7 linked regions of the Rattus norvegicus genome follow. The protein of the gene in region 2 interacts with the protein of the main gene of each other region in a pairwise test. Links are inferred from orthologs where the notes say so. Each region holds a gene or a part of one and is shown on either strand. Other genes may lie near its edges. The genes, in order: Wasl, Grb2, Sos2, Prr22, Hnrnpc, Sh2d4a and Asap1.

Region 1 (3,832 bases), on a different chromosome or scaffold from region 2:
CTTCTCCTTGGCCTCAAGTAGGGCAGGTCTTGCAACCTCCAAACCTAGCGCTCTTCTCAATGAGCAGTGATGTGTGTTTATGAGCAAAGCTCCTCAGTGCTGGCAACCTCAGCTGTTGATTTTTCATATTTTAAATTTGTGATGTAGTTGGAGTTTTGGGTTTCAAATCGGCAGTGATTACATTTTTCTCACTATTTAATTCTGATTGGAGGTAGCCATTGCTTACTAATTATAATTACCCACCTTTGGCATGAAGAATAAGTAGATTTCTTACATTGTGTCTGTAGATATGGTAGTATGTAGAACTCTCATCTCTTGGTTAAATTTGTTATGTTTCAATCACCTGTCTTGCTGCTGCATGGTTGATAGTACTTGAACTAGTGTCTCCTTAGGCCACTCTGCAGAGGTCTAGAATTCAGAGTATTACCGAACAGCCCAGAGACAGTGTATTGGATTATTCTGCATCTGTAATTGAGGAAAAGGGTAACAGTATTACTGTGACATTTGGTAGAACATGACCGAAAGCTTAGCTAACGGAGTTACACAGTGGAGCATCTATCTCACTTGCCTAGAGTGATGTCCCTATTCCAGTGAGCCTAGTTCTGTACTCTGCTAAGTGCTGTACTTGGAAATGCTTGCCCTGCTGAATGAAACCACTTATAAACAGGTTCCATTTAGTTACTGTATTGTGTATGTTATATGTATATGACAAATATATGTTCCTAAAAGTCTTTGTTTATAAAAACAGTCCCTTTAAGGAGTTGTCTCCTTTTTAATCCTAGAAGAATTTTTTTAGTAGATTTTAACTTTTTTTCTTTTTCTAGGATGGGAAATTACTGTGGGAACAAGAGCTATACAATAACTTTGTATATAATAGTCCTAGAGGATATTTTCATACCTTTGCTGGAGATGTAAGTCCTATTTTCTTTTTATCTTGGTAATTTTCCTATTGGCTGCTGTCTTAATTACTTTTCTGTTGCTGTGAAGAAATAGCACAGGTAAGGCAACTTACAGAGGAAAGGATTTCTTTGGAGCTAACAGTTTGAGAGGGTGAGTCTGTGACCATCATGACAATAATCACAGCTACAGTGAACTCAGGAGCAGTAACTGAGAGCTTACCTCTAATCCACAAGCATGGGGCAAAAAGAGCTGACTGGGAATGAGTCCAGTTTTTGGAACCTCAGGGCCCACCCACAGTGTGCCTAACAGTCCAGTTAGGCCACATTTCAACTGGGAACTAGGCAGTGAAGCCAGTGACCTTACAGGGGCCATTTTCATTCAAACCACCACAGTTGCCTTTGTTCAATCTATGTTGTTTATAAAGTTCTGTTGAAACCAAATGTAATTTTTTTGCTGAAGACAAAGTATTTAGTTGTTAAGTTTTTGCCAAGTAAGGAAGCTTTTCTGATAGTCTTACTTTACCTTTTCTGAGCTTTTTGCCTTGAAGTTACTTAAAATGTAACTTTGCTCCTTGTGTGCTTCCATGGATTGTCATTATTTTTGGTTTATAAAGCTAAGTTCATGAACTTTCTTGTTTGTTCTTTTTGATGGAAATACTTCAGACTTGTCAAGTAGCTCTTAATTTTGCCAATGAAGAAGAAGCAAAAAAGTTCCGAAAAGCAGTTACAGACCTGTTGGGTCGACGACAAAGGAAATCTGGTAAATACCTCCTTGCTTTTCCTTTTGCATTGTGTACATCACATGAACCAGCAAACTAGTTATCAGGCAGATGTGATTCTCAAAGTCAAATCGTGGTCCAAACTGGCAGCCTGGGTTCTGCTGAGGTGGCTTCCCAGACTGGGAGCAAGGCTCATGCAGAGTGCGCTCGCTGACCAAAGTCAGAAAAGCTGCTATAAAACATTGGATCCTTCTGACCAAGTCAGAAATCCTGTTTAAAAAAATTATTGAAGAAGAACTGTTTTCACTCTTCGACATCTTCAGATAATTCAGCTCTCACTAGAGAAAATTCTAAAGAGCTGCTATTGCTTTCTGCCAGCACATCTCATGCAAGCCAAAATCGGTTTTCTGTTTACATATCAATGAAGTTATTTATTCTAGGTTCCCTTTTGATTATTCTATGAATCTGTATCCCATGACCTCCCACCCCACCCCCAGCCCTTTGATTCTTAGGAGACAGCAAGCATATACTTTTTTCTTAACATTGCAAAAAAATTTAGAGGCCCTGTCCCAAAATTACCATTTCCACCATGACTGAGTATAACCTTGCTCTATCCCAAGCTGACCTTGAACTTAGGAATCTTCCTGCATTGGCATCTGCCTGTCTGTACCTTTCTGACAAGCTGGCTCATAGCATACATAGCACTTGTTCCTTTAGATTCTTAAAGCACCTCATAATTCATATTGCATTTTTTGCATAGTTGAGAAATTACATATTTTGTAACTCATGTATTTAGAGCTCTTTCCCATAGCCGTAAGGGCTGTCCAGAAGGTCCCAGCCTGTATCATTTTGCTGAGACATTAACTACATCCTCAACTCCTGGACTCATGCTCTTACTAACCTTTATGGCATCATTAATGTTTACAGGAAGGACATTCCTCGGGGCGGGAAAGAGTCCTCCACTGCTAGAACTGGTTCCAGAAAACCTGTACATTATCACACAAACAAGCCTTATGCTCAAAGCAGCCATCGATAGTCATGGAGGCTCACCCCTGTCCCAGGAGCAGGAGCCATCTCACTCTGTCCCAGCCAAGGCCACACTGGTTCAGCATGTTACTGTGTGAACTGTGGGCATCTGGCTTTATCATCCATATGCATACAGGCAATGGCTAGTGTTTGTCCCGGCACAGTTAGTGTTGTGGCAAAGCTCATATAGCCTGAATAGTTATTGTCTGGCTTTCTCTACAACAAATTTCCATGGTACCTACTTCAAAAGAAATATTTTAATTTCAGTAACCTTTTTTACAAATAAAATTTTATGTTCAGCCACTCCTAAATTTGCATTAATGGCATTCAAAAAACATATTTAAGTATATTTTGCAGTTTTAGTCTTTTTTAAATTATTACAAGAAAAAATAATTATTTAATATTGCCAAATACTCAGTGTTCAAATATCCCAGTATATTATCAGTATGTTTTTTAAACTTTTTATTGTTGTGAATTTCACATCATGTACCCCAATCCCACACATCTCTCTGTCTATCCAAAGCTGTTCTCTACCCTTGCAACCTCCCCCCAGATGAAAACAAAGACTAAAAAACAAAATGAAACAAAACAAAACAAAATCTCATCACAGAGAGTGCAGCACGTCACACAGATACCCTTTGGTCCAAACAGCTTTCCTTGCAAGTGTTCATTGCAGTGAGTCGTTGTTCTGGTCTGAGGCCTGTGGCTCCTATGTGTGCTCTTAATACTGGATCCTCACTGGGACTTCTTCTCTTCCCCGTCTCCTCTTCCCTTTCTTCCTGTCCCTCTCCTTCTCCTCCCTCCCCCTTCCCCTCCCCCTCTTCCTTTCCCTCCCTTTCTTTGCCACCTGCAAAGCTTTTTCATGAAATCTGGAATCCTAACTCTAGACTTCACACTTGCCAGGCAAGCACCATTATGTACTGTGTTGTCTCTCTGAGTCTCTAGAGTTGGATTTAGTGACATTTTGTGATGAGTATCTAGTGGACCTTTGTGAAATGCTTTAGTCAGAATAACTGACATTTTTGAAGTAGAGGAATTGTCCTGCATATAGTGGCTGTCTAAACTTTTAATTGTTTCAGCTGCACAGAGAACATGGCCTTAAGGGTACAGCTGAGTTGGTCACTGTTGGCTGGCTCTTCATACCTTGTCTCCTCCTTTTTTTACCTTAGTCACAGGGTTCTAGCTAGT
Region 2 (4,625 bases):
GGGGCCAGGGTTCTTCTCTTTGAAACTAAGTAATTCTATCTAGATTGCAAACTGCTGGAATCATCCGGTTTCATCTTTTGCTCCAAGGAAGGCATTTTCAATGCAAATGAAGCTCCGTAAACACTTGGGGAAAGAACGGTTCACTTTCCTTATTCTAGGGGACCCATCTCCTCTATTGTAGCAGAGGTGGGTATTCTCAACTGAAATTCGTTGGCTTCTAGAGAACGCACTAGCATAGGATGTGTTCGTGCTCTCCTGTAATTGGAAAGAGCTTTTGGAACTGAGAGGTACTTCTCCAAGCTTTCCTCTACCGCTCCCCCATAGCCGGCAGCCCCACATAGGAATCTATGTACTTTGCATGGCACAGAACACGACTTTCTCACGCCTCCATCCATCCCTCTGTTCTTCTGTGCTATTCCGTTTGCCGGCTATGGGCTTACCCTGGCTCCTGTGCTGTGCAACTCCTACTCACCCTCAGCACTCGGCGGCACATCACCTTCTTTGTTAAGTCTTTTATGCAGTGGGCAGAGGAACAGAGCCAGCCTTTCTCCATCTTTTTGGCTTCCTCAGCATTCCCCCAAAGTACTATGTGTAAGTGTTATAGTTTGTGTGTGTGTGTGTGTGTGTGTGTGTGTGTGTCTGCACGAGGGTGTGTGCAGGTGAATGCCGGTGCCATCAGAGGCCAGAGGCACTAAATCTCCTGGAGCTGGGGTTACAGACAGTTGTGAACCATGGGATGTGGGTGCTGGGAACTGAAATCAGGTCCTCTGGAAGAGCAGCAAGCGTTTTTGTTTTGTTTTTTTGTTTTTTGTTTTGTTTTTGACCTCTGAGAGGTCTCTCCAGCCCAAGACATTACTTGTTTACTCTTCTGGTGCTTCTCTCGATTGATTGAATCGCTTAAGGGCCAGGATCTCTGCTCGTCGTTTCATCTTCTTTACCCAGCACAGTGTTTACCTACAGTAGGTATGTAGTTCACTCGGTGAACGGACTAATCAAACAGTTCATCAAACACTGCAGGTTGTACGAACCAGATTCCCAAACATTTCTAGATCTGGTCCTCTATTTGGGTCGAACCATCCTGAGATCTGCCGCCCCTCGACCCCTCCTCGAGGCCTCTTTGCTTTGCTTCGATAGAAAGAACGCTATTCGAGTGTGGAAAGCGCTATTCCGCTAGAGCAGAGCTGTAATTCACTTGCTCCGGCACGCAGAGGGTTACAACGGCCCAGGGGCGGAGCCGAGTCCCTGCCACCTGCTGCGGGGCGAGCTGACGCATGCGCGAAGTCCCCCTTAGGCTACCTGCCGGGCGGAGCGGAGGAGGAGCGCTTGCGCTCTGGGCCTTTTCCGCCGGGGAAAGTCTCGCGGGGGCGGGGCGCGGCGGGGCGGGGCCGCGTGGGGAAGTTCTCGCGGGACCCTGGCGAGGAGCGGAAGCTAGGCTGCTCTGCTGCTTCTGCGATCGGGCGGCGGCGGGGCGAGCCAAGCTGCGGCGGGGGACGGCGGTCTGGGCAGCGGGCGCCGCAGTCAGGGAGCAGCAGTGAGGTTGGCGGCCGCGGGCGGCAGCACAAGGCGGGCCAGGCCGGGTGAGGGAGCGGACGGCACGTCGCGGTGAGTGCAGGAGAGCGGGCGGGAAGTGAGCGGGGGCTCCGTCGTCCCCGCGCCGCGCCGGGCAGCTCGGGCCCGGTCTGCTCCGGGCTGCCGGGGCGGGCCGCTCGCGGGTCGGGGAAGGCTCGGACCGGAGCGCAGCGGCTGCGCAGCCGTCTCCTCGTTTCCCCTTTTGGGGCGCTTCCTTCCTGGTGTCGGTCTTCCTCCCGCTCGGGGCAGAGACCGGGCGAGCCGACGATTGAGGTCCGGTGTGGCGGCCGTCCGGCTGGGCGCAGAGGAGCCCGGAGCAGCCGAGAGGCACAGGGTGCTGCTCTGAGTCAGGCTGACTGAGCCCGGGAGGCGGGGGATTCGGTGCCGGCTGCTAACGTGGTGATTGATGCTCCTTTGACCTGCAAGGCAACCACGTCACCGTCTCTTGGCATCTTGCGGTCGAATTGTGTGCGGGAATCCACCATGACTTAGAATGATTGTTACCCGGACCCACCGACTGGTCTTTGCGAGAGTTGGGAGCTTCTTTTGTAGAAGTACTTGAGAAAAAAAAATACTTGTTGTGGGGGGAAAAACAGCAGCAGCTGATGGGAATGCTGGCAGGAAGGATTTTCGCGGAGAGAGCCCCGCTGGTTCATGTCCGTTTGCAACGCTCTAGGTTGTGTGGGTTTGTAAGAAAGTGATTTTTAGGGTGTCTTCAAAAGCTATATAGCAGTGCAGTTTGCCGGGAAGCCGAGGCGCGTTCAACGTCCGTCTTTTGATGGTGTTGACATTCAAAAAGAGGCTAGAGAAATTGGCTTTCTTTTGACTTCTTCGCCTCTCTTTCACTTTGCCCTGCAGTTTTTGTCCTTTCAGTCTCTATTCCACTCCACTAGGGACACGAAGTACATTTTTTTAAAAAATTTATTTATTCTATGTATATGAGTATACTGTAGTTTTCTTCAGACACACCAGATCCCATTACAGATGGTTGTGAGCCATCATGTGGTTGTCGGGATTTGAACTCAGGACTTCTGGAAGAGCAGTCAGTGCTCTTAACCGCTGAGGCATCTTTCCAGCCCCACGAAGTACATTTGTAACGCCAGTCATTGGCGCCTCCACCCCCTTTAGAAAATAATCTACTTCCCCTTCTTGTTCTTCCTCCGCTATAATTTTCGAAGTTTCTGCCGGTTTGAGCACTGTTAATTTTCTCAGTCGTTCTAAGATCCCCTTTTTGGGGGGGGTAGATACCTTCCCTTGTTTGCATTTCTTTTTTTTTTTTTTTTTTTTTTTTGGTTCTTTTTTTCGGAGCTGGGGACCGAACCCAGGGCCTTGCGCTTCCTAGGTAAGGGCTCTACCACTGAGCTAAATCCCCAGCCCCGTTTGCATTTCTTTTAGACTGTCCTCTGTATTCTTCAGCCAGCCAGAAGGGCTACTAAGGAGCCATCGGGGTGCTTGAGGGGGTTTAAGTTCTCCCCCTGGGAACTAGAAAACCCAAAGGACTGAATTCATTGCTAAGTAATCGATAGTGCCATCAGATCACAAGTGGATTTGCCTGTTCGCTTGTGCTATTTGTATTTTGGTGTTTTCTTCACAAGGTATCCTTTTGTGCCTACTATTTTCCTTCTTTCTCTCTCCTGTTTCTCTTCTCTGTTAGTAAGGAAGATTTTGAGCCAGTTTGGAAGCTGAAAGACTCCCCCCCTCCCTTTTTTTTTTTTCGGAGCTGGGGACCGAACCCAGGGCCTTGTGCTTGCTAGGCAAGCGCTCTACCACTGAGCTAAATCCCCAACCCCGAGGTCAACTATTGTTAAATGAGAAATCATCCGTGGAGTTTGTGAAGTAAGATAGCTTGAAATAGAAGAGAACTTTGGATATTTGTGAATTAAGTCCACCTTCCTCTCCTGACTAATGATATAGTCCTAACCAGGCTTTTTAAAATGATTTTTAATTTTGTATGTGCTTGAGTGAGTTTTGCCTGCATGTATGTATGGAAACCGTGTGCATGCCTGGTGCTGTCAGAGGCTAAAGGAGGACAAATACCTTGAACAGGAGTTACAGAGGGTTGTGAGCAGCCATATATATATGTGTGTTAGGAATTGAACCCAGGTCCTCTGGAAGAGGAGTCGGTGTTCTTTAACAGCCTGAGTTGCTATTCTCTCTAGTCCAATAGTTTTAAGCACTACTCACTGGTACTGAGGGTTTTTTCCATGATTTCTGTTATGTCGCATGTATACAGCAGCCCTTATGGAGAATTATGAATTAGGAGACAGCAAGACAGAGCTGCCACTCCCGGACAGGCATTTGGTGTCGTTACCTGCTGACCTCAGAGGCCTACACCTTTGGCCACGGTTATTGAGATTTATTCTTCTGTGTTTGTCAGAGTTGATTTTCCCGAGTTGTGCCAAGTCTAACATACATCATTTTCATTTTGTTCAGACGTAGTGCACTGAAATGCAAATTTTAAAATTTGCTTAGTGCTTCCTCATTTTAGCCTTGATTCTTAAAATTTGTATGTATAGACATAACCTGCCAATTAAGGAAGGGCTGGAGAGATGGCTCAGTGGTTAAGAGCACCGACTGCTCTTACAGAGGTCCTGAGTTCAATTCCCAGTAACCACATGGTGGCTCATGACCATCTGTAATGGGATCTAATGTCCTCCTCTGATGTGTCTGAGGACAGCTACAGTGTACTCATATATAATAAATAAATAAATAAATCTTAAAAAAGAAACCTGCCAATTAAAATTTTTTTATCCAAAAAAATTTTTTTGAGACAAGGTCTTGATATATTGTACAGGTTGGTCTCAAACTATTTCTCTATTGATTTATTTTGAGGCAGGGTCTCTCTGTTTAGTCTTGGCTTTCCTGGAACTCTATCTGTAGGCTACCTGGGCTGGCCTTAAACTCAGAGATTTTTTTTTGCCTCTGCTTTCCAAGTGCTGAGATTAAAGTTGTGCACCGTTAGCCTGGTTTCACTTTGCAATGTCCTGCTTCAGTCTCACCTCAGTGCTTCTGCTATCATACTGGGTAGAGGCCCCTTTTACAGTTAGGTAGTGGCA
Region 3 (3,832 bases), on a different chromosome or scaffold from region 2:
TGATGAAATAACTTATGACCATTGGGCTTGAGGCGTAGCTCACATGGGAGACACTTGCCTGGGCTAGATGCCTAGCACCGGGAAACAGTCCATTTCATACAACTGTTATGAGGACAGGAAACACAAACCCCCTGGTTCACTGTCTTACCACAAATCAGCATGCTCTAGTTGTTTTTATTTTTCCCCTTAATACTTAGGATGGCTTTCCACTGCAAATCCCCGGATAACTGAGAACTGCAGCAACCACTCCAGCGAGGAGTCCTGCAGGGTAACCACAGAACCCTGGGCTCTGTGCGGGTCAAAGGTACCCAGCACAGCACACCCACTTTTTCCTTCCCTGCCTTCTCACTTGTTCCATCCAGCTACCTGCTTTTGGCCTCACTTTTGTATACATTTTTTCTTATATCAGGAGGTACAAAAATGGACAGAAAAGTAAATGACACCAAAATGAAGGATACTTAGCACGATGTGGGCCTAGTTCTTATACCCAGTGCTGCTTTTTTTTTTAAATCAGTTTCTATTAAAATGTTGACATTTTCTGCTAAGTATTATTTTCTTTTTGTGATGTTAGAGGGCGAGCCAGGGCCTCACACAGGAACTCTTATGTCTGAGCCCCAGCCTACCCTGTATACATAATTTTGGAAATAGAATAGTACTGTAGAATAAAACAGCAAAACAGCTACTGCTGAGAGATCAATTTTAAGAGAATTAGGTTGTTAAACATTGAAATTATTATTAAAGATTATTTATGTACTTTATATATGTGAGTACACTGTCACTGTCTTCAGACACACGAAGAGGGCATCAGATCTCATTACAGATGGTTGTGAGCCACCATGTGGTTGCTGGGATTTGAACTCAGGACCTCTGGAAGAGGAGTCGGTGCTCTTAACCGCTGAGCCATCTCTCCAGCCCCTGAAAATATTTTATTCTTTTTTCTTTTTTTCGGAGCTGGGGACCGAACCCAGGGCCTTGCGCTTCCTAGGCAAGCGCTCTGAAAATATTTTAAAAAAGAGACAAAACTTCCCATAATTACAATGAGTAAAGACTTACAAATCGAGGTGGTTGTTTGCAGTTTCGGGGTTCAATTTCATGAGATTTGTTGAACAAATAATCTGTAAACTCTTTTTCAGATAAAAGTCCCATGGGATTGAGGTTTTCAAAGAATCTCTAGAATTAAACACATAAATACACATATATACTAAAATTAGATCCTATTAACTTTAACAATAAAACAAATCAAGATACCACAGTATTCGAGTCTTTTAGACAGATTGCTCTTTCTTCTCTCTATTTGTGACTAAGACTGTACAATTTCCAAGGAAGCAGCACCCTAGCCTCATAGTTTATTAGTACAACGAACAGATTCTCAGCTCAGTTGTTGGCATCACTTGTTTCTTAGCAACTGTCTTCCTGCTCACTATGACAGCAAAATTACTACCATTCATCTACCAACAGAGTTTACAATGAAGATTATGCCCGAAAACCACAGCATGTAGTAGATAAGCAGGAAAAAAAGTAGAGATAATTGGAGTAAGGTATATTCAAAAGTAACTTAAAAGACAATTATAGCTTTAATTTTTTTCTGTGTTACCCTCCAAGGCCAAAAAAATGTAAAAATCCAAACCTGTGTTTATCCAAAAAAAAACTACTACAAAAAAAACTACTACAAATATATATTTTAAGCTTTTTTAAGTAGAATATTGAGATGATTTAGTAAGATGCCAAAAAACAAGGTGTGAGCGTGCACATCTGTGTGTGTGCATGGATGTGTGTATGTGCATGTCTGTGTACCTATGTGTACGTATGCGTGGGTTTGTGCAGGTGCAGAATGAGTTTCAGGAATATGTCAGTGGCTGATATGAGTGGTGGGAACTGTGCTCTGGTCCTCTGGAGGAGCAGTGCATGCTCTTAAGTGCTGAGTGCATCTCAGTCTTCCAAACTGTAAATGACAAAATGATCTGGGCTTGGCGTGCAGCTCAAATGGCAAAGAAAACAAAAAAGAAAAAAGAAGCAGTTATTTCATTGATCAGAGGCTCTGATTTTAGTCTGAGTGTCTCTGGACTTTATTATCTGTGTGATACATTAATGCGAACACTGTTACTATCCTAGGACTGATTTCAGCAATCTCCATAGAGATTGCACAGTTTTTTCTAACTCATTGTCATATAAACTGTGTTCAACATTATATATTTTTCTTATTCTCTTTTATTATTTCTTTTTTTTTTTTTTTTGGTTCTTTTTTTCAGAGCTGGGGACCGAACCCAGGACCTTGCGCTTCCTAGGCAAGCGCTCTACCACTGAGCTAAATCCCCAGCCCCCTCTTTTATTATTTCTAAAAGAATAATAAACATAGGAATCTAATTACTGGGTTTAGCTTTTTTTTTTTTTTTTGATACAGGGTCTCAAAAAAAAAAAAATTCAGGCTGCTTTGAACTTGTAATCCTCCTGCCTCAGCTTTCTACATGCTGGGATTACAGGCATGTAATTTTACCAATAGGTAAAATGAGCTTTACATTTCTTAATATAAAATCCTTTCTATTCTTCAGGCATTCTACAAATGTCAGAAAAATTATTATTTTTACTTTAATATACAATTTCTTCTCGGGTCATCAAGGATACAGTAAGGAGCTGTCAGGCAACAGTAATTTCATCCTTTATAAAAGCTGTAACAGATGCACTCTTTATTTCTCCAACCTTTGCCTTATTTTCCAATAGTGTTTAAGTTGGTTAACTATGCCTTGAAGGTGAATGGCTGTTTATTCCCTTCTTTGGAGACTAGGGCTCATGTTGCCCAGGTTGACCTCTATCCACTGGGGAATGGCCCTGAACTCCCAATGCTCTAGCCCCACCTCCCAAGTGTTGGGTTATGTGCATAAGCCATCATGGCTGGACCTGGCTCATTTTAAATTTACTTTGACTCAATTCTAAGGAAGGGAGATTTGCTCTGCATGATGGTAAGAAGCATAAAGAAGATCACGGAACTGTACTAGCTGATATTTCTGAGACACGAATGAGAAGAGTACTATTTCAAATGTACTCAACCGCATTGAAATGTCTTTTATGGAAAGTACACTGCAGACTCTAACCTGGGCTTTAAGAATACATTTCACTCCACAGCACAGAGGGCAGACATAGTGAGGAAGGAAGGGACAGCCACGGCAGCTCATCACCACTTTCTTTTTTTGTGGTATTGTATAATCTATATTAAACATTATTACTCAAAACGAAACACCAACTGACAGGATGTGTTTTGAAAATCTGCTATGCATATATACCTGCTATTCTCCAAGTCCTTCACAGCGATCACATGAAGGGATTCAATGTTATGTCAGGCATGCGAGACACGTAAAATGGCTATCAGTCAATTACAACAGCAGCGGGGTTTTATTTTATTGCACAGATGTTCCATTCCCTCTGCCTTGTGTGTAACCACCACACAAGGAGGCAGGACTCTCGGAGAAGGCCCTTAACATTAGTGACTGCTACAGCATAGACACCCGTGTTTACATTGCTATCTCAAGTTTAGCCAAGGGCAAACAGAGAGCATGTGCATCACTATGACACTTTTAGCAATTCCACAGGATTTAATGCCATCTCTTTCAAAGATTAGTAAGAAAATATTTACCCTCATCTCTGGTTCTGTCCGTAAGCAGTATGGTTGGTTCTGATACTGCTGAATCTCTCCGGTTATTTCAGCCACTTTTCTCCTCTTACTGAAATTGATCAAATCTTTCCCTTTCCTCTTTAGAAAGTCGCTGTTCCCTTCTTCAGTCTTCAGAATATTTGTTAAATATATTCCTAGCAAAAGATGTTCAAAGTTATTTCAGAC
Region 4 (3,962 bases), on a different chromosome or scaffold from region 2:
CATGCCCCTGTTTGGTAGGTGCCCAGAGCCACTGGGACCACATCTCTCAGCTGGGAGGATGCTGGATTCTTTGGAAATCTCAAGACTGATTGATGGTGTCCTCATGTCCATGGGGCCTGCCACTGTCAAGACCCCACTGTGTCTCCTCAGGAAATGGAGACATCCTTTCGTTTGAGGACGCCAACTGTGCCATGCAGACAGGGGTTGCTGGGATCATGGTTGCCCGGTAAGTGACGCCAGATGGGCTGGGACAGCAATGCTAGAACTTTCTGCACCTGGGGACCCTGTGAGGCCGAGGCCTGGCTGCTGAGGTGACTGGAGCTAGGAGGCACCATGTCCTCAGTGAGCATCTCCCTTGTAGTGGCGCCTTGCTCAAGCCCTGGCTGTTCACTGAGATCAAAGAACAGAGACACTGGGACATCTCATCCTCTGAGCGCCTGGACATCTTGAGAGACTTCACACACTATGGCCTGGAACACTGGGGCTCTGACACACAGGGTGTGGAACGGACCCGGCGCTTCCTTCTTGAGTGGCTCTCCTTTCTTTGCAGGTGGGCACTGAACCAGGCAAATGGCCAAGGTAAGAGATTGTAGCCTCAGACCTCACCGAGCCTTATTGCTTCCTCTGCCCTCCTGGCCCACAGGTATGTGCCCGTGGGCCTGCTGGAACGACTGCCACAGAGGATCAATGAAAGGCCACCCTACTACTTAGGCCGTGACTACCTGGAGACACTCATGGCCAGCCAGCAGGCTGCAGACTGGATTCGAATCAGGTACGCACTGGCCAGGGCTCTACAGGTTGATGCTGTGAGGCCCAGGCCTGATCTGATCTGTCACTTTTGTCCCCACAGTGAGATGCTGCTTGGACCAGTTCCACCTGGCTTCGTCTTCCTGCCCAAGCACAAAGCCAATGCCTACAAGTAGCTAACAGAGACAATAAATTTTATTCTTGTAGAATTTCTTTTATTTTGTTGGGTTTTTTTTTTTTTTTTTTTGGTTTTTTTTTTTTTGGAGCTGGGGACCGAACCCAGGGCCTTGCGCTTCCTAGGTAAGCGCTCTACCACTGAGCTAAATCCCCAGCCCCTTGTTGGGTTTTTTGAGATAAGATCTTATATGGGCTGGCCTTGAACTCCTAGAATCCTAGGCACACCGTCCATCACACTGGCTTTTTCTTAGGTGACCTAAAATGGCCTCTGTTCCTCTTCTCCTAGGAGGTGGCCTTGGCAGGTGCCTGGTCCCCGTCTGCACTGTTTTCTGACTCTAATCTGTCCCGTTTTGTTGGGCAGTGTCCTTGGGACTTTGAATTGGGTGACTTGTATGGAGGCAGCAACAGAGACCTGGCTCCGGGTGGAGAGGGCCGCCTCTTGCCCACCCCCTCCCCCTCCTCCGGAACCCAAGTGATGGGCTTGCCCTGGACTGGAACCCTCCACCTAGCAACACGGTGCAAACAGAACCCAGCGGGACTCTGTCCCCAGGTGCCTCTGCTGCCACCCGGGCCCCCCCGGGGTGGCCTGTCTCACCCATGCAGCATCCCAAAACCCTCTATCCCCCAGCCATACCCCAGGAAAGCTTCAGCCTGCAGAACCTGGAGGGCCCTGAGGTACCAGGTGGCTCAGAACCCCTTCCCACTGTAGGTATGATGGTGGTGGTGGACAGGGGTGTGTGATGGCTATGGGGCCTGGGCCCCTGCCCCACCTACCAGGCACCTTTGTCCACAGCCAATGCTAACCTGCACTATCAGAACCCCGGCTCTGACCAGGAAGTGCTTCCAGCCCCTCCAGCAGGTATCGGCCGGCACCCTTGAGCCTCGCTCTGAACAGGCTTCATACCCAAGATGAGACCCCAGAATTGCCCTGGGTCCCCTCTACCCCAGACAGATACCCCCATAGCTGAACTGTGTCATGTTTTGAAGTAACACTGGAGAGCAGGCTGAAGCCTGCTTTGGTGACAGCGGCTGCCACTAGGCAAGGCTTTCTGAGAGGCCTGGGCACCCGAATTCAGGTCGTTGTTTTCCTGAGAGGCATCAGAGGAGAGGACCCCAACAGTCTCTGTGTCTTGCCCCCCACGAGTCCCCAGATGACTGGTAAACAGCCAGTTTTCAAGGCTCCTCAGAGGCCAAGGCTGTGTCCTATGTCCTGGGCTTTGGGACCCTCAACCCCCATGGCCTGGTTCCCCCATGGAGCCCCACTCAGGTGTCCACCACCCACAGGCTTCCAGATGGCTCCCTGCGGCTGCTTCTTCGACCCCCGCATCTACCGCATCGAGTGGGCCACCTCCGACTTTGGCCAGTCATCCCTGTACAAGGTGGCAGTGGCTGGGGGTCCTGCCTTATCTGGTGGCTACCTGCTGGAGGCCCCGTCCTACCTCAAGACCCCGGGGCCACCACCTCTGCTTTATCCCCACTACCAGCCGGCCCCCAGCGGGCCACAGTACCTCACACATTTCCTTCCACCAGAGGAGCCTATGCCTGAGGCTCTGGGCTTCATGCGGGACGGAGGGCCCCTCAACTTCATGGAGGTGCTCAGAGACGGCCTGGCACCCCCGCCAACCCCCAAAGAGACTAAGCCATCTCCCTTGCTTATCACAGTCCCCACAGCACACACGCTGCCACCTGGGCCCTATGGCCATCTCGGTGGCCAGACCAGCCAGTTTCCAGGACCCCAGGTGACCATGAGGCCCACCGAGGCCCCCAGGGAGCTGCAGAGTAGTGGTGCAGCCAGGCCGGGTCTGCAGTTCCCTCCTGGGCCTGGAGAGCCCACGGTGGCCAAGGTGGAGGAGGTCACCCCAGTGGGCTCAAGTGAGACCGTGCCTCCCGAGGTGGCTCGTGCGTTCTTCCTACCAGACAAGGTCCTTCTAGAAGATGCCATGAAACTTTTTGATTGTCTCCCTGGTGGCACTGAACCTGAGGTGGCCTTGCACAGGGGTCCTGGCCCCGGACTGCGGGACAGTGGTGGTGGTGGGGACGACTTCCCAACTGACATCCGCTCCCTGCACCTGCCAGATGACCTGCTGTCCTTTGACTACAGTGTCCCTGAGATTCTGGACGCGGTGGCCAACGTGGATTATGTTTTCAGCTTCAAGGCCCTGGAGGATGAGCCGCTGCCCCATCTTGGGGCCCCTGTCACTGACACGGCGGCCCCTGGCCTGCGGTCCCATCAACCGGGGAAAAAACCGAGCACATCCACCAAGAAAGGGAAACCAAGCGGTAGACACAGGCAGGCCACTGGCCTTGCTGGCACCACTGCCACAGGACCCAGGCTGGACCCAGGAGCCACCCCCAATTAAAGCCATTTGATCTCTCAGCTATGTGTGGACACATGTCCTGTGACCATGACCAGGCAAGACCGCCGACTGCATGGTGAGACTGGGGGTGGGGTGGTGCCAGTCACGTGCCTTCAGAGTTGAGTCAGGAATCTCAGAATTGGACTGTCAGGTATCAGGGTTGAAACTAAACTGTTAGCCCTACATTTAGGTTGCCTGGGTAGGAGGTTGGAGGCCAGTTTGGTCACAAAGTACAGCCTCATCTACAAGAAATGAAGATATGGTGCTGCAGCTCAGCTGGTAGAAGGTTGGGGGTTCATTGGTAAAGTGCGTGGGGCTCAGTCACTATTCACAAAACCCTGGACTCCTTCCCAGTGCTATATAAAGCGAGTGTGGTACATGGTTGTAACCCTAGCCCTGAGGAGGTAGGAGAAAGTCAGAATTTCAGGGCTAGCCTGAGCTCCCTGAGCCTGTCTCAAGAAGAAAGGCAGTTGCCTCAGACTGGCCATGTTGGGAGGTCTCTTGAGAAGTGGGGTTTTCTTTTCCAGACACTACTGAAATGGGTTCCCTCGTATGTTTGGTGGTCAGAGTCAAAGTGTCCTGAGAGGAGTGGGCACAAACCTGGAGATGCGGTGTGTAGGTAGGCCCTGGAGAGTGGCCGTCCCCTTTGGCCTGCCAGATTACTGCACCTCACCTGTGCCC
Region 5 (4,490 bases), on a different chromosome or scaffold from region 2:
TGGCCCGAAGCCATCCTGTTCTTCTTTTTTCTTCATGTCATTTTCTCCAAGTCTTTTAGAACCTGCATAGTCTTGAAAGGTCAAAACACTGCCCACGGGAAAGACACAGTCACCACCTGTGTCAGAATAAAAGTCAAGACCAGAAGTGGTTACACTATCATCGGATCTCAGCATGCTGAGGGCAGAGGTAGGAGGATCACTGTGGGATGGATGCCAGCCTGGTCTACATACAGGCTGCATAGTCTGACCCTGACTAAATAAGTAGCAAAAAAACCAAAGCGAACTTCCTGCTTGCTACTCTGGTTTGGATTCAGGTGCACCTCCCTCACCAAAGCCAACTTCTTTACAGAACTGCTTTGCCTGTGCTTAGGAGCTCTGTCAGAGGAGATCATTGCGTGTTTGTTCCTAACACCAGGGAAGTGAAAACAGAAGGAACCTGGGGTTCAATGGCCCGCAAGCCTAGCCATGAAGGGCTTCCCATTTGTCTGTCTACCTACCTACCTCTACCTAGGTACTTATATTTATTGTTTTTTCGACAGAGAGTTTCACTATACAGCCCTAGCTGTCCTGAAACTTGAGTAGACTGGCCTTGCACTAGAAATACCGCCTAGCCCAAACCTTTCTTTAAAGAAAAAAAAAATAAAATAAAATTGGGAACACATAAACTCGCTGGACTGGAACATTTAAAATAAATCCTTTGAAAATGTCAAAGGTTTAAAGGTCTAAAGAAGACCTAAAAGATTATTTTTTATTTTTAAATCAGGAAATTTCCTGGGGTACTCTTTCCCTTTCTCAGTAGGCTATATACATTTTTGGCCTGTTTAATGTTTCTACAGTGTAACCAGAGCTTTACTGGCCGAGCTGAGGGGGTTAAGTAGTATCAAGCTATTGCAGGAAGTGGGAAACTGAGGCGGCTGGCCATTGGTTTTGCAGATTGTGTGACGACTTGGGCCCAGGAAACGGGTTTATAGGGGTCTAGGCAATTGCTCTTATAGGAGAGAACTATGGAAACCAGTTGGTTTGGAGGGAGCTGTTCACTGACAAGGCCACGTCCTTCCAATAGCTTATAGAATCTGGCAATGAGAGGGGATCTGAATTTGAAAATAACTGCAGACCTGTTTAGTTTTTAACACTTCAGGCGGCCTAGGGATTACGATCCTCCCTTCTCTAAAGCTTGTTTGCACTTCCCTTTTTTTCCAAGGCCTGAGGCTAGGGCAGGCCCTTTGCACCCGCTACCAGACTCCACCCAGGCTTTCCCACCTCCGTGCCGCGGAAATGCGGTGATCTGGCCGGACCTAGGATCTCTAGGAAGCACTGATAGGACGACACGGCCGTCAGTCAGGTCCGCCGGATACCCGGATGAGAAGCTGTGCGCGATACAAAGGCGAAAATTCCACCCAGCTTTCCGTCTGGTACAGTGACCAATAACCATCCGTCAGACACTAAGTGATAGAAAGCTTAACCAATTACTAAGTAGCTTTTGTTACGCATGTGGAAATTCTCCCAATTAGCCCAACCCACCTCGTGTGATGATTGGACGGAATTGTGAGGAGCGGTAACGCTATCTAATTAGGAGCGGGAGCGAGAAAAGTCACAGCCAATAGAAACGCCTCCGGGAGCGGGGCGGGGGCTGGACTTTTGCCTCGGCGGCAGAGGAGCTCGGGGGCCATTTTGTGAAGAGACGGAGAGCGAACGGTCGTGTGGTTCCTTGCTGTTGTAGCTCCGGCTTCTCGGCGTAGACCCGCAGTAGGAGAGGCAGGCTCTTCTCTCTCTCTCCTTCCTCTTGGTAAGCGGAGAGGGCGAGGGCAGGGGAGGCCCTGGGTTGCTGGGCCCCGCGAGGGGGTTGTAGGCGAGAAAACGGCCTCGCGGCAGAAACCGAGGCCGCGTTTGTTCCTGTGCGTTGGGGATTGGGTCTAAGGCGGGAGGCAACAGGCCTCGGCCTTGGCGCAGGTTCAACCTAGTGACCTCTAGGCCACGGTGCGTACGAAAATACCCTCTTTGCGCGCTGGTGTTTAACGGCTACTTTCATTTCCTTCCCCCATTAGGATTCCAAGGGGGAGCAGGGGAGCAAGAAAGCGAAGAACGAAATGCTTGTTAATGTAATTGTAGTGAATCTCTTACTCCGTTATTGTCTTCTAAGCTAAATGTCGGGCGTGGGTGGGGGAGCGATAACATGGTGGTGTAGTACTGGAAGCTTCTAAATTCCAGGCCGGCCACATGGCATCTGAACGGCGTTTTAACAATAGATTAAGTAGTGATTACTTTTTTCTTCAAGGGATAGATGGGTAAAAGTCGGGAGTGCTTTTGGTTTGTAAAGGGAAGTGCCCAAGGTAAATTGTAATTGGAATAATTACAGCTTTTTATCTGCAGGTTACAAATCACATAAGTTAGTGGAACTTTGCTTGAGGTAGGTACTGCTGTCCTAGAGAGAAGTGAGACTTAAAAGTGGTTGACAGGACCGGACTAAATCAGTAGTAGAGAAACTAAGATATTTCTAGGCAGGTCAAGTTACTAGAATAGACTATACACAAGAAGAGACTTAGCCGGTAGGTGGTGACAGTGCACGCCAAATGCCTCCCACCACTTGGGAGGCAGAGACAGGCAGATCTCTCTGAGTTGTGGGCCAGCCTGGTCACAGAGAGAGAGTTCCAGGACAGCTCGGGCTACACAGAGAAGCCCTGTCTCAAAAAGGGGGGTGGGGTGGGAATGAGTTTTTCTTTTTAGAGGAACCTGATACCGAAATTTACAGGACATTTTCAATCTGGACTTGGGAACAATAATTAAAAGGCACAGAAATAGTTTACAGATACTCCAGTATTAATCCTACCCATCTAGAATGGAAAAAAAGCAGTTTACAGCTAGTTATGGTAGTGCAGGCCCGGAATGTTTGCATTCTGGAGGTTCAGAGACAGGAAGATCCTGAGCAAGATCCCATTGCAAGGCAGCCCAGGACTACATAGTAAAACATGTTTAAAAATTAAAGTAGTTGCTCTCTTGTAGGTGTTGAGTTCTTTTTTTTTTTTTTTTTAGATTTATTTATTCTATATAAGTACACTGTTGCTGTCTTCAGACACACCAGAAGAGGGCATCAGATCTCTTATTACTGATGGTTGTGAGCCACCATGTGGTTGCTGGGAATTGAACTCAGGACCTCTGGAAGAGCAGTCAGTGCTCTTAACCCCTGAGCCATCTCCTCCGTCCGAGTTCTTTTAAATATAGCTAGTGATAGTGCTTAGGATTCAAGATGCCCAGGATTCAATCTCCCATACTAATAAAGGGTTTTTGTGTCACATTAACTTACCTGGGAGTTATTTCATTAGATAAACTTATTATAAAATTGGTATTTCACTCTGGCACAGTTTTTAATCTCAGCACTAGGAAGGCAGGAGATCTGAATGTAGAGTAAATCTAGTAATTCTAGGACAGCCAGGGCTATACAGAAAACAATGGGTTTGATTAAGTGACAAAAATATGCTACTAATCTTAGTTTAAACTATACACACATTTTACTCTTAAGCATACTTCATGGAATGTGCATGGCCTACTCTTGTAATTTGAGCACTTGGGGGATAGAGGTAGGAAGAGTTCAAGGCCATCCTTGGTCCAGCTTGGAGTATTAAGACTGTCTAAAGAAGAACAAATGCAGACAAAGGAAAAAAAAACAGCCTCCCACATTTTTTGTTTGGTTTCTCTGTGCAATAGGCCTGGCTTTTCTGAACCCACTGTCTTGATTAGGCTGGCCTTGAACTCTGATCCACCTGCCTCCGCCTAAGTAAGAGATGGGATTAAAGGCATGTGCCTTTAAAAAGTAGATAGAGTACAGGGTTTTGCCTGGTGAACAGTGAAAACTAGGTAAGAGAAAGTATTATAAATGTCAGAAGTTATGCAAGGTTACTGGTAGTAGTTGATGTATACTTGCCATTAAGTGTTATAAATGTAGGCCAGGCTTGGTAGGCACCTTGTTCTGGTAGAACATGTGGATTTCTTGGAGTTTTGAGGCCAGACTCAAATTACATTTTTGATTTGACTTGGGAGGAAGCTGTTAAAATTGCAAGGTTTGGATCTCTCATTTGCCATGGTCAAGCCATTTTCCAAAATGGTTGGTAATGGTTACTATTTTTTCTGTAGAGTAATTATAACATGTTTGCAATTTGATCTCTAGATTTATTGGCTTGTGATCTTGTTATAAATGGGCATGGCTGTTCAAGCAAGTAAGGAATATATTCCTAAATAGTTCGTTACAGTCTTATAGATGATGAGTGGAAGTTACTAACTAGGGAAACTACAATTGAAAAATCTTGGCTGTGTAAAACTATGTAAGTATCCAGTAAATTAGACTTCTGGATTTGTTTTGAGATATAAAACAAGCTAAACTACTACTTTATATGGAAATTTTGAGTTCTCATTTAACCCTAGTCATTGCTGAAAGTAGTTGACAAAATACACAAAAAATTGTCCTACCCCACCCCCACCTCTGTTTCCTAAATTAT
Region 6 (3,832 bases), on a different chromosome or scaffold from region 2:
AATTCAGAATTTTTAAATGGTGATTTTTATGCTATTGATAATGTTTCTTCTCCAAGAAAGAGGCATCTTTTAAAAACTAGGAAACATTCTTCAGCGGGCTATTTTCCACAGCTGTGTGTAATTCTGCCGAGCAGAAACTCTCTCTAATTTAAGGGTACAGCGATGAAACCAAACCTTCCTGCTACTCAAGTCCCCGAGGAATCAGCATTTACTGGTAACACCTGAGTGACAACTCAGTGGACAGGTACTTCTCCAGGATGAGCTCTGGATGCCTCCCGGATGCTTTTGCACTAGAAGGCCCGGCTGAGACCCTGCATGGTGCTGCCGAGAGATCCTGGGTACTCACAAGATGCTTGCCATTCGGAGTCTTCTTTCCAGTTCTTGTATATCTGCTTCGTTTTCTCGTCCTCTGTCTGCTTCAGTTCCTCACTGTCCTTTTTCTTGGTGAGGTCTTTAGTCTGTTTGAAAATAAAAACAGAGATGGGAAGAGGAGAAAAAACGTGACAGGTTCTTTAAGAGGATAGGCGGCATCTGGGCTTCTATTAAATTCTCTCCGCCCATTAGGGAGATACTTGGTGTCAGCAATGCCGGAAGCTAGAACTTCAGGTATCTCCATGTGGGACTTTCTGTTCCTGATCCTCTCACAAGCTGTTTTCCCAAAGTACAGCTAGAAAGAGCATTCCATAGAGTTATAGTGAATATCTGTGTTTTCAAAAATGCCTAGCACAATGTATAGCATATGCCTTTACTAAACAGACATGGCTGACAGATATTCCAAGTTTCCTTCTCTGAAGTAAATATGTCAATTCATGGGACCAGCGTAAACACTGATCTGCTGTAAACTTCCAGGGGCAGTCTCAGCTGGGGACTATATATTCTCCAACTTTTTATACAAACAGGGAATATGATATATGATTTGAGATGGCTCACAAAGGCACGGGGCTCTTTTGTTTTCTTCTTAACACACACACACACACACACACACACACACACACTATGACCTCTGAGAAGGGGAAATACACTACAGAGTAAGTACAAGTTCAGGACAAACTATTTTGTAAGACCATGTCTGAGAACTAAAACAGGGTCATGGTTTCGGCTCAGGAACATGGAACAGCTTGTGAAACTTATTACTGCGTTGCCTAGCGTGAGCAAAGCTTCAAGCTCAATGCCCCGTGCCATAGGGCATTGGAGAAGGAGAAGAGGGGGGAGGAGCAGGAGAAGGAGCAGGAGGAGGAGGAGGAGGAACAGGAGGAGGAGTGGGAGGAGGAGAAGGAGCAAGAGGAGAAGGGTAGGAGAGAGGTGGAGGAGGAGGAGGAGGAGGAGGAAAAGGAGGAACAGGAGGAGGAACAGGAGGAACAGGAGGAGGAGCAGGAGGAACAGGAGGAGGAGCAGGAGGAGGAAGAAAGTTGATCATGGATTCCAAAAACATGACAATGATGACTTTCCAGCTACAAAGATGGGCTCGGTGTGTAAAGTGCTTGCCGAGCTAGTACGAGGACCTGAGTTTGAATCCTAGTATTATCCACGTAGTTGCTTGGCCTGGTGACATGTGCCTGTAACCCCAGAGCTGGAAGGGTGGGAACAGGGGGATCCTAGGGGCTTGCTGGCAAGCCAGTCTAACTGAAAACAATATATTCTACGTTACATGAGAGACCAAGTTTCAAATTAAATGTGCAAAGCCCCAGAGGAAGACATCTGTGCCAACCTCTGGCCTCTGTCTGCTCATGTACTGGCAGGGGCATCCTCTTCCAGGTACGTATATAATACACCCTCATCTACACACAAATGTATACAAAGACTTCCTTGCCATGAAAGTATTTTACCACAATAAAACATAAATCTCGCTGGGAACCTTAGCTTGGATTACTGTAGAGAACCATAAACCAGCAGTAAGGTCGTAACCCTCTGAAACTGTGCTAAACTTAATCTGCACACATCTTATACCTTTTATTTTTTTTTAAACATAGTTTCCTGCCTAGAGCCACGAACCTATCATTTGCTGCACATTGTTTTTTGTTTGTTTTTAATTCAAAGAAAGCTTGTGGTGGTAGAAATGACTGAAATGTGTACTGAAATGTGTTACCCTTTACTGAAATTGTTTACAAACCTGCAGTACATTATGTACTGCTCTCGATTTTCAAACTTGAATAGAAAGAAAAAGAAAAGGAAAAGCAATACAAAAACAAAAACAAAAACAAAAACCAACCTAACAAAACACACTTAAGAAAGGAGCTCTGCTCATTTGGAACACCTTTTCCTGGGCAGATGTGAGCAAACTAGTCATGAAGGAAACACTTTCCCCAAGTCTAGACTGAGGAAACAGAGAAGTTACTGGGGGTGCTCATGGGAGCACTTGACAACTGAAAGGCAGATATACCAACAAGCCCTCTCCAGTACAGTAAACACTCACAAGTTCTATCCTTTGAGTCATTAACTCACCTTGCAGGTAGAGCCACTGAAAAGCCCCAAACCTGTTATTTACTGCCTATCTAACCTTGGACTGGGTGGGGTGCTTATAAGTTCTCCATTTTGTGAACCTCCCTTTCCCTGAATGGAATGTCTTGGCCAAGGAACCAGCTATGCAACACATGCATTTGTATTTATTTAATCTCTCTCTCTCTCTCTCTCTCTCTCTCTCTCTCTCTCTCTCTCTCTCTCTCTCCTTGTCTTTGTCTCTCTTTGAGTGTGATCATATGTGGGCATTCCTCTGTGTAGAAGTGAGAGGGCATATAGAGGCTAGTTTTCAACATCAAGTGTCTTCCTCAGTCATTTTCCCACCTACTATTAGAGACAAGTTCTTTCACTGAGCCTGGGGATCTTTGATTCACTAGATCCTATTGGCCAGCAAGCCCCTGTTGTCTGCCTGCCTCTGCCTGCCATAGTTCTAAGACATACACCCCTGCATCCCCATTTTTACCTGGGGATCAGAATTCAGGTCCTTCTGCTTGCACAGCAAGCAGTTTACAACCAAGCTATCTCCCAAGGCCCTGTTTTCTTCTTAAATAACCTCACAGTTCCAGCGTCACATCAGGACTCTGACCCACTCCGTCGCTGAGGATGAACAAGAAGGACAATGCCTTTTACTTTTATTTGTGTGTATGCATGTGTACAGATGTGTACAGGTGCCCTTGTTGGACAGAAGAGGGTATTGAATTCCCTGGAGTCTGAGGAAGCTGAGTGGCATGGTGTTGGTGGTTGTGGGACTAAAACTCAGGTTCTCTTCAAGAGCATAGCAGTCTCTTCATGGCTGAGCCATCACTCCAGCCAACTCCCCCAGTGCCCTATGCCCAGGTTGTTTACTAAGAAGTTTAAAACCACAACCCACTGAAGGACAAAACATTAAAACACACACACACACACACACACACACACACACACGCAGAGAGTACCTGGTTGATAGGTGATAATCAGATGTTGGAGAGTGCTATATTTAGTAAACCCAGTCCTTTCTTCTCTACAGTGTAATTATATGGCACGGTGGAGAAGAAGTGAGCCTCACGAGTAAATAGCAGATGAGATCAGGCCCGGACCTTTCTGTTTATCCAAAGAAGCTTAGAAAAGTAAAGGCTTCTTTCTAAGTTGATGTCTAGGAGAGGAGATCCTGTTTCATCACCTTCGTTCTCTGGGACCTGAGGCTGACTCTCTCATTCATTCTCGCCAGTTACCTGCCATCCTGTTTTGGTCACATCAAAGATGCCTTCAGCTCGGTGTCTTTGTGCCTGGACCCTTTGTGCTTGGTCCCTCTGCCTGGACTGTATTGCCCTCTCATCCACTGTCATTGCCTCCCCAGGCTCTGCCCCATCATCTCCAGGTGGCCTTCTCCAGTCAC
Region 7 (4,498 bases), on a different chromosome or scaffold from region 2:
TGCCATGCTTGGATGACAGATAGATCTGGATCTCTAGTCTATGCCCCTCACATCCAACGTGTACTAATTGAGGGGCTCCCATGTGCTAATTCGGCACTGTGAGTCAGAACAAAAGAGACAGTCAAGAATTCTGGGATGGGATGCTGGGGGAGGTGATGGCGATGACGGTGTGGGGGCCAGACCCAAGTGGATCAAAGGGTTAGGGGAACTGTGAGGGCCCAACTTCTGCTCTGTGATTTATCTGTCAACTTCAGACCGGTAGAGGTTCTTTCCCAAATGTAGATAGGATGGTAGGTGAAGGACAGGAATCCCTGGTTGGGTTCCTGGAGCCCAGCTTGGAGTTTTTCCTGTGACCTGTAACCAGTGAAAGTGTTGGAGAAAAGACATGCATTTGGCTGCCAAGCACAGGTCTGTTCGTCCTTGGGAGACAAGCTGGTACCCAAGTTTCAGTTCCCAGCATGTTCACTTCAGTTCTCGCTTGTACGCACGTGGTCCTTCCTCTAAATCTCGGAGTCAGAGGAATCTGAAACACTCAAGCAAAACCACCAAACTGCAGCCTACAGGTAAAATGTGGCATTTCCTGGGGAAACCACAATGAATCACTCCCAATGGCTGCCCAGACTCCCCTGCTGGTTCTCTTAAACCTCCAGGGGCATCTCAAGGCTTATTAACATGCCCTCCCCGAAGTCTCCCACCCTCAGGTTAAAAACAAAATCTCAAATCTTGTGAGTCCTGGTGAATTTCTAATTTCACCAGAAAAGGGTCTATGCAGTGGCTGACCTTTTCTTCTACAGACAAGACTCAAAGAAAAACAATCACCTGTAATTAAGGAGAAACTGACACCCTTAGGCCAGACCTGCCCCTGAGCTGTGTAGGTCCACACAGACATGCAGAATACACACCCTACAAGTTAGAAGCCTCCTTTCTCTGAAGTCTCTAGATTGCAGCAATACCCAAGCATGGGTATCACCGATGTTGCCAACATCCCTGTCTAAGCATCTTGTTTTCAAATGAAGACTATGACACTCCTTTCTTATTTGAGAAACTGAGGCTTAAGGAAGAATCATTTGCAGGAAAGAGGAAAAGGCCATTCTCCAACCAGGCTTCAGAGACCGGAATGTGCGATATGCCAGATCATCAGTGTGGTGTGCTGACCCAAACGGTTTTCCCTCCAGGCACTGGGTAAAAAGATAGAAATCGACGGGAAGGAACAGGCGAAAGTAGCCTAGGAGAAGTCATGGCGGGATGGGAGAGGCCACAGTCTTCTGGTGTCCTAGCTTTAGCAAGCCCCACTTCAAGGCCAAGGTTCTCTGTTGATAAGCCCCACCTCTGCTCTCTGTGGCCAAGGAGGCCCACCCCATGCATCTCCTCCTGCACGGTCCTACTCCTGAGCCCTGAAGTGTGCCGGCTGGCCAAGGGTTAAGCGCGGCGGGAGCCCCCGGCGCGGGGCAGCGGCGGGCCGGGAGTGCTTAGTCAGGATTCCGATTTCCTGCTGAAGTGTTTGGATTTCCTGCAGCCCGCGCCCGCCGTCGCCGCCGAGCGGGCTCGAGAGAGCGGCTCCGCGTCGCCGGCCTCCTCCTCCTCCCCCTCGGCACATGGTCACCCGCCCCTTCCTGCGCCGCGCTCGGCTCCCGCGCCTCGCCCGGCCTCGCCGCGCCCGTGATGGAATAATGCCCAGCGGCCCGCCCGGTCCCGGTGAGTGGCGAGGCGGCGGGGCGGCGGGAACAGGCGCGGCGGGGCGTTGCACGGCCACCCGGACACCCCTGTGGGCTCCGGGTGTCCCCGTCTGCCCGCAGAGCACCAGCCGGGGGCGTGCGGGGCGCGCGGCCGGCTCTGCAGGGGTTGGCGGGGCGGACCGGGAACTCCGCTGCCGCAGCGCCGGAGCGCGCGTTCTCCTGTTCCGCGGAGGCGACTCCGGTTGGGGGCGTGCGCCCAGGGCGCAAGGCTCCCAGCTCAGGGAGGAGGCCCGGGCAGCCGCTGGGGCGCTCTCGGAGTCCGCTGGGGCGCTTTCTCTGTCCTCCCGGGCACTCTCCCCTCCCATCGGGGCTCTCCCTTCCCTCGGGCGCTCTCCCGGCCCTCTGGGGCGCTTTCCTTCTCCTCCCCGGCACTTTTCCCGGTTATCCCGGGGCGCTCTCTGAGCCGCGCGGCGGGGAGGCGCGGGCTTTGGCCGCCGCATTGTCTCTGGCGCAGCGGAGGAAAGTTCCCCTCGGCGTGGGTCCCGGCCTGGACATGGCGCTGCCAGGCAGGCCCCAGACCACTAAAAGCAAAAGAAGCCGGGAATGGGGGTGGTAATCCCCCGTGGGAACCGAGAAGTGCCTTGTGTCTTCCGCTTGTACAATTTTGGAACCTGATGCTTTTTATGAGAGCAACAGTAAGTTTAAACGAAACGGGGGGAAAAAGAGAAACTCGCTGGTATCTGGTTTTCTACTGTTTAATTCATCCAGATACATCATCTCGCGCCCTCGTAGGGCGGGTTCATTTTATCAAGGAGAGGCTTAGCTAAGTCTAGACCAAGTTAACTTGACCTTACCCTTAGCATACTGATGCAAAAGACCATTTTCCTCCTTGTATCGACTCCATCAGGTTGTTTTAGCAGAATTGATTCTAGGATAGCAGTGATACAGGATTGCTGAGTAATGTTTTGAGACTGTAAAACACAGAATTTAGTTTTTAGGCCAGTTTCATGTCTGTTCTAGCCTGAGTGGCCAGGTCTTCTTGCTCGGCCACTAGAAGGCCTTTGGGAATGGGGCTGAGGGGGCCATAGAAGAAAAGAATCTCGGAAAACAACTGTTTTCTCTTTTAATGTGGAAGAGTTTCAGAAAGAGACCTGTTTTGTCTAAGGACACAACTACTTGGTGGCCTGGCTGGGAATAGCTAACTTCCAAGTCTATAAACTCTGGGGCCTGGCCTCTGTGACTATGCCAGATTGTGATCTGCCAGCCACAAGTGTTACTGTGTCTCTCAACGGTCTCCACTTTAGCACCTTCTCCTGTTCTCTTATCTGTTATTGCCGCCGTTTTAGAGACATGCAGTTATCTCAAAGAACATATTTTGAGATTAGGAGTTTAAAAATTACTGTTTAGAATGCATAATGATTTTAAGTACTCGAAGGATGATTTTAAGAGTTAGCAAAAGAGGAAAAGAAAGAAAAAGAAAAGACATTGTCCAATTTCTGTTCACTGATGCAAGTGGATTTGGGATTCAGCTACCAAATGGATTTGAAATGTATAGTGGTAGTTGTTATATGGGGAATTGCTTTTCTCTAGTCTTCCATTTTTTTTTGTTTCAAACAGACAAACTCCAAACCGGCACTGTCTTGACATAGAATGTGCTGTTGAGATTTTCAGAAGTCTCGATTCTGAGTCCTCCTCTCTCTCTGAGCCAGGCAGCCCACCTAGTTTCCTCTTCTTGAAAGCTGAGTGGCTGGCTTTTCATTTTTAGTATGTGATAATGTTGGAGAGAAAGGACTTTTTCACAAGCTTGCCATTTGGTGAAGGAAATTGAAATTCCTTACACCTCTCCAGTCCTCCCCAACCACAGCCAGATAGATTTTCAATACCAATGCAGGCCTTGCAGGCTAGAGATGAATGTGTGCATTCAAGCCTAGCCTTCCTAGTCTGGGCCCTCCTCCCAGCTGGCTGCTCCATGTTGTTCCCAGGTGGCTGCGGTCTAGGGGAAACGAGAGCCCCTTGTACCTGTGCTTTTCGTGGGTTTTCCCTACCAAGGTCTCATTGTGTCTGATGGGATCTTCCTGGTCCCTTTACATTTTCTCCTCCCCTCTTCTTTTTCTCTCACTGGTGTATCTGATATGGGCTCCAAGGGCTTTTCTAGAAATCTGCACAAATGATCCTTACATAAGCGATGATGACAGTGACACTAAGCACTTGTTGCGTGCTCTCGACTTGTTGCCTCCTAAGAAGGACCAAGAGAGTGTTAGGGAGATGGCTCAGTGGGGAAGAGTGTTTGCTGTACAAGCATAAAGACCTGAGTTCAAATCTCTAGCATGCATGTAAAAAGCTAGATGCCCTGGTAAATCCACACCCACTGAGTGAGTGGGTGAAGACAGCATGGTTGCCTTGGCCTAGCTTTAGGTACAGTGAGAGACCCCATTTGATCCTGTGTTCACTCCTTGGTATGTGTACTCAGGCAGATGTGCACATGTTCTCTCTCTCTCTCTCTTTCTCTCTCTCTCTCTCTCTCTCTCACACACACACACACACACACACACACACACACACACACACACACACACGGGTCCCCCAAAGAGGGAACTCCTTGGAAGTCTTTCTCAGAAAGGACAGCCTTTCTCAAATTCATGTGGATTGAGTCATTCTTGTATGCAGTAAACATTTGCTAAGTGGCTCCTCTGTGGGAGGTACTAGTCATACAAAGATGAATAGCACCCTGTTCTCAAGGCCTCTTCTTTTCAGCCTCATCTTTCATTGTCAGGATTATGCTCTTTCATTTAATTAATCAATTCCACAAACATACATGGAAC

The links.
Region 1: the proteins of Grb2 (region 2) and Wasl interact in binary tests that used the Homo sapiens proteins (3 or more experiments, as listed by UniProt). The link is inferred for Rattus norvegicus from reciprocal best matches to the Homo sapiens genes GRB2 and WASL.
Region 3: the proteins of Grb2 (region 2) and Sos2 interact in binary tests that used the Homo sapiens proteins (3 or more experiments, as listed by UniProt). The link is inferred for Rattus norvegicus from reciprocal best matches to the Homo sapiens genes GRB2 and SOS2.
Region 4: the proteins of Grb2 (region 2) and Prr22 interact in a two-hybrid assay, tested with the Homo sapiens proteins (2 studies listed by BioGRID). The two-hybrid records come from large-scale screens. The link is inferred for Rattus norvegicus from reciprocal best matches to the Homo sapiens genes GRB2 and PRR22.
Region 5: the proteins of Grb2 (region 2) and Hnrnpc interact in a two-hybrid assay, tested with the Homo sapiens proteins (2 studies listed by BioGRID and IntAct, with this or other methods). The link is inferred for Rattus norvegicus from reciprocal best matches to the Homo sapiens genes GRB2 and HNRNPC.
Region 6: the proteins of Grb2 (region 2) and Sh2d4a interact in binary tests that used the Homo sapiens proteins (3 or more experiments, as listed by UniProt). The link is inferred for Rattus norvegicus from reciprocal best matches to the Homo sapiens genes GRB2 and SH2D4A.
Region 7: the proteins of Grb2 (region 2) and Asap1 interact in binary tests that used the Homo sapiens proteins (3 or more experiments, as listed by UniProt). The link is inferred for Rattus norvegicus from reciprocal best matches to the Homo sapiens genes GRB2 and ASAP1.

The regions. Positions count from the first base shown.
Region 1 is NC_086022.1:54,066,264-54,070,095, reverse strand, and holds part of Wasl (actin nucleation-promoting factor WASL), read left to right. Parts: intron 1-824; coding exon 825-911; intron 912-1,562; coding exon 1,563-1,659; intron 1,660-3,832. UniProt on the Homo sapiens protein: Regulates actin polymerization by stimulating the actin-nucleating activity of the Arp2/3 complex. Involved in various processes, such as mitosis and cytokinesis, via its role in the regulation of actin polymerization.
Region 2 is NC_086028.1:101,445,055-101,449,679, reverse strand, and holds the start of Grb2 (growth factor receptor-bound protein 2), read left to right. Parts: upstream 1-1,541; 5' UTR 1,542-1,602; intron 1,603-4,625. UniProt on the Homo sapiens protein: Non-enzymatic adapter protein that plays a pivotal role in precisely regulated signaling cascades from cell surface receptors to cellular responses, including signaling transduction and gene expression.
Region 3 is NC_086024.1:93,787,266-93,791,097, forward strand, and holds part of Sos2 (son of sevenless homolog 2), read right to left. Parts: intron 3,802-3,832; coding exon 3,629-3,801; intron 1,171-3,628; coding exon 1,054-1,170; intron 1-1,053.
Region 4 is NC_086027.1:1,684,829-1,688,790, forward strand, and holds Prr22 (proline-rich protein 22), read left to right. Parts: upstream 1-1,466; 5' UTR 1,467-1,521; coding exon 1,522-1,633; intron 1,634-1,717; coding exon 1,718-1,783; exon of another isoform or gene 1,784-2,075; coding exon of another isoform or gene 2,076-2,208; coding exon 2,209-3,284; 3' UTR 3,285-3,301; downstream 3,302-3,962. Other genes in the region: Dus3l (tRNA-dihydrouridine(47) synthase [NAD(P)(+)]-like), read left to right, coding at 1-14, 151-226, 362-550, 644-772, 851-923.
Region 5 is NC_086033.1:27,279,858-27,284,347, reverse strand, and holds the start of Hnrnpc (heterogeneous nuclear ribonucleoprotein C), read left to right. Parts: upstream 1-1,632; 5' UTR 1,633-1,786; intron 1,787-2,370; exon of another isoform or gene 2,371-2,407; intron 2,408-4,490. UniProt on the Homo sapiens protein: Binds pre-mRNA and nucleates the assembly of 40S hnRNP particles. Interacts with poly-U tracts in the 3'-UTR or 5'-UTR of mRNA and modulates the stability and the level of translation of bound mRNA molecules. Single HNRNPC tetramers bind 230-240 nucleotides.
Region 6 is NC_086034.1:26,127,251-26,131,082, forward strand, and holds part of Sh2d4a (SH2 domain-containing protein 4A), read right to left. Parts: intron 459-3,832; coding exon 347-458; intron 1-346. UniProt on the Homo sapiens protein: Inhibits estrogen-induced cell proliferation by competing with PLCG for binding to ESR1, blocking the effect of estrogen on PLCG and repressing estrogen-induced proliferation. May play a role in T-cell development and function.
Region 7 is NC_086025.1:97,979,060-97,983,557, reverse strand, and holds the start of Asap1 (arf-GAP with SH3 domain, ANK repeat and PH domain-containing protein 1), read left to right. Parts: upstream 1-1,607; 5' UTR 1,608-1,695; intron 1,696-1,925; exon of another isoform or gene 1,926-2,371; intron 2,372-4,498. UniProt on the Homo sapiens protein: Possesses phosphatidylinositol 4,5-bisphosphate-dependent GTPase-activating protein activity for ARF1 (ADP ribosylation factor 1) and ARF5 and a lesser activity towards ARF6.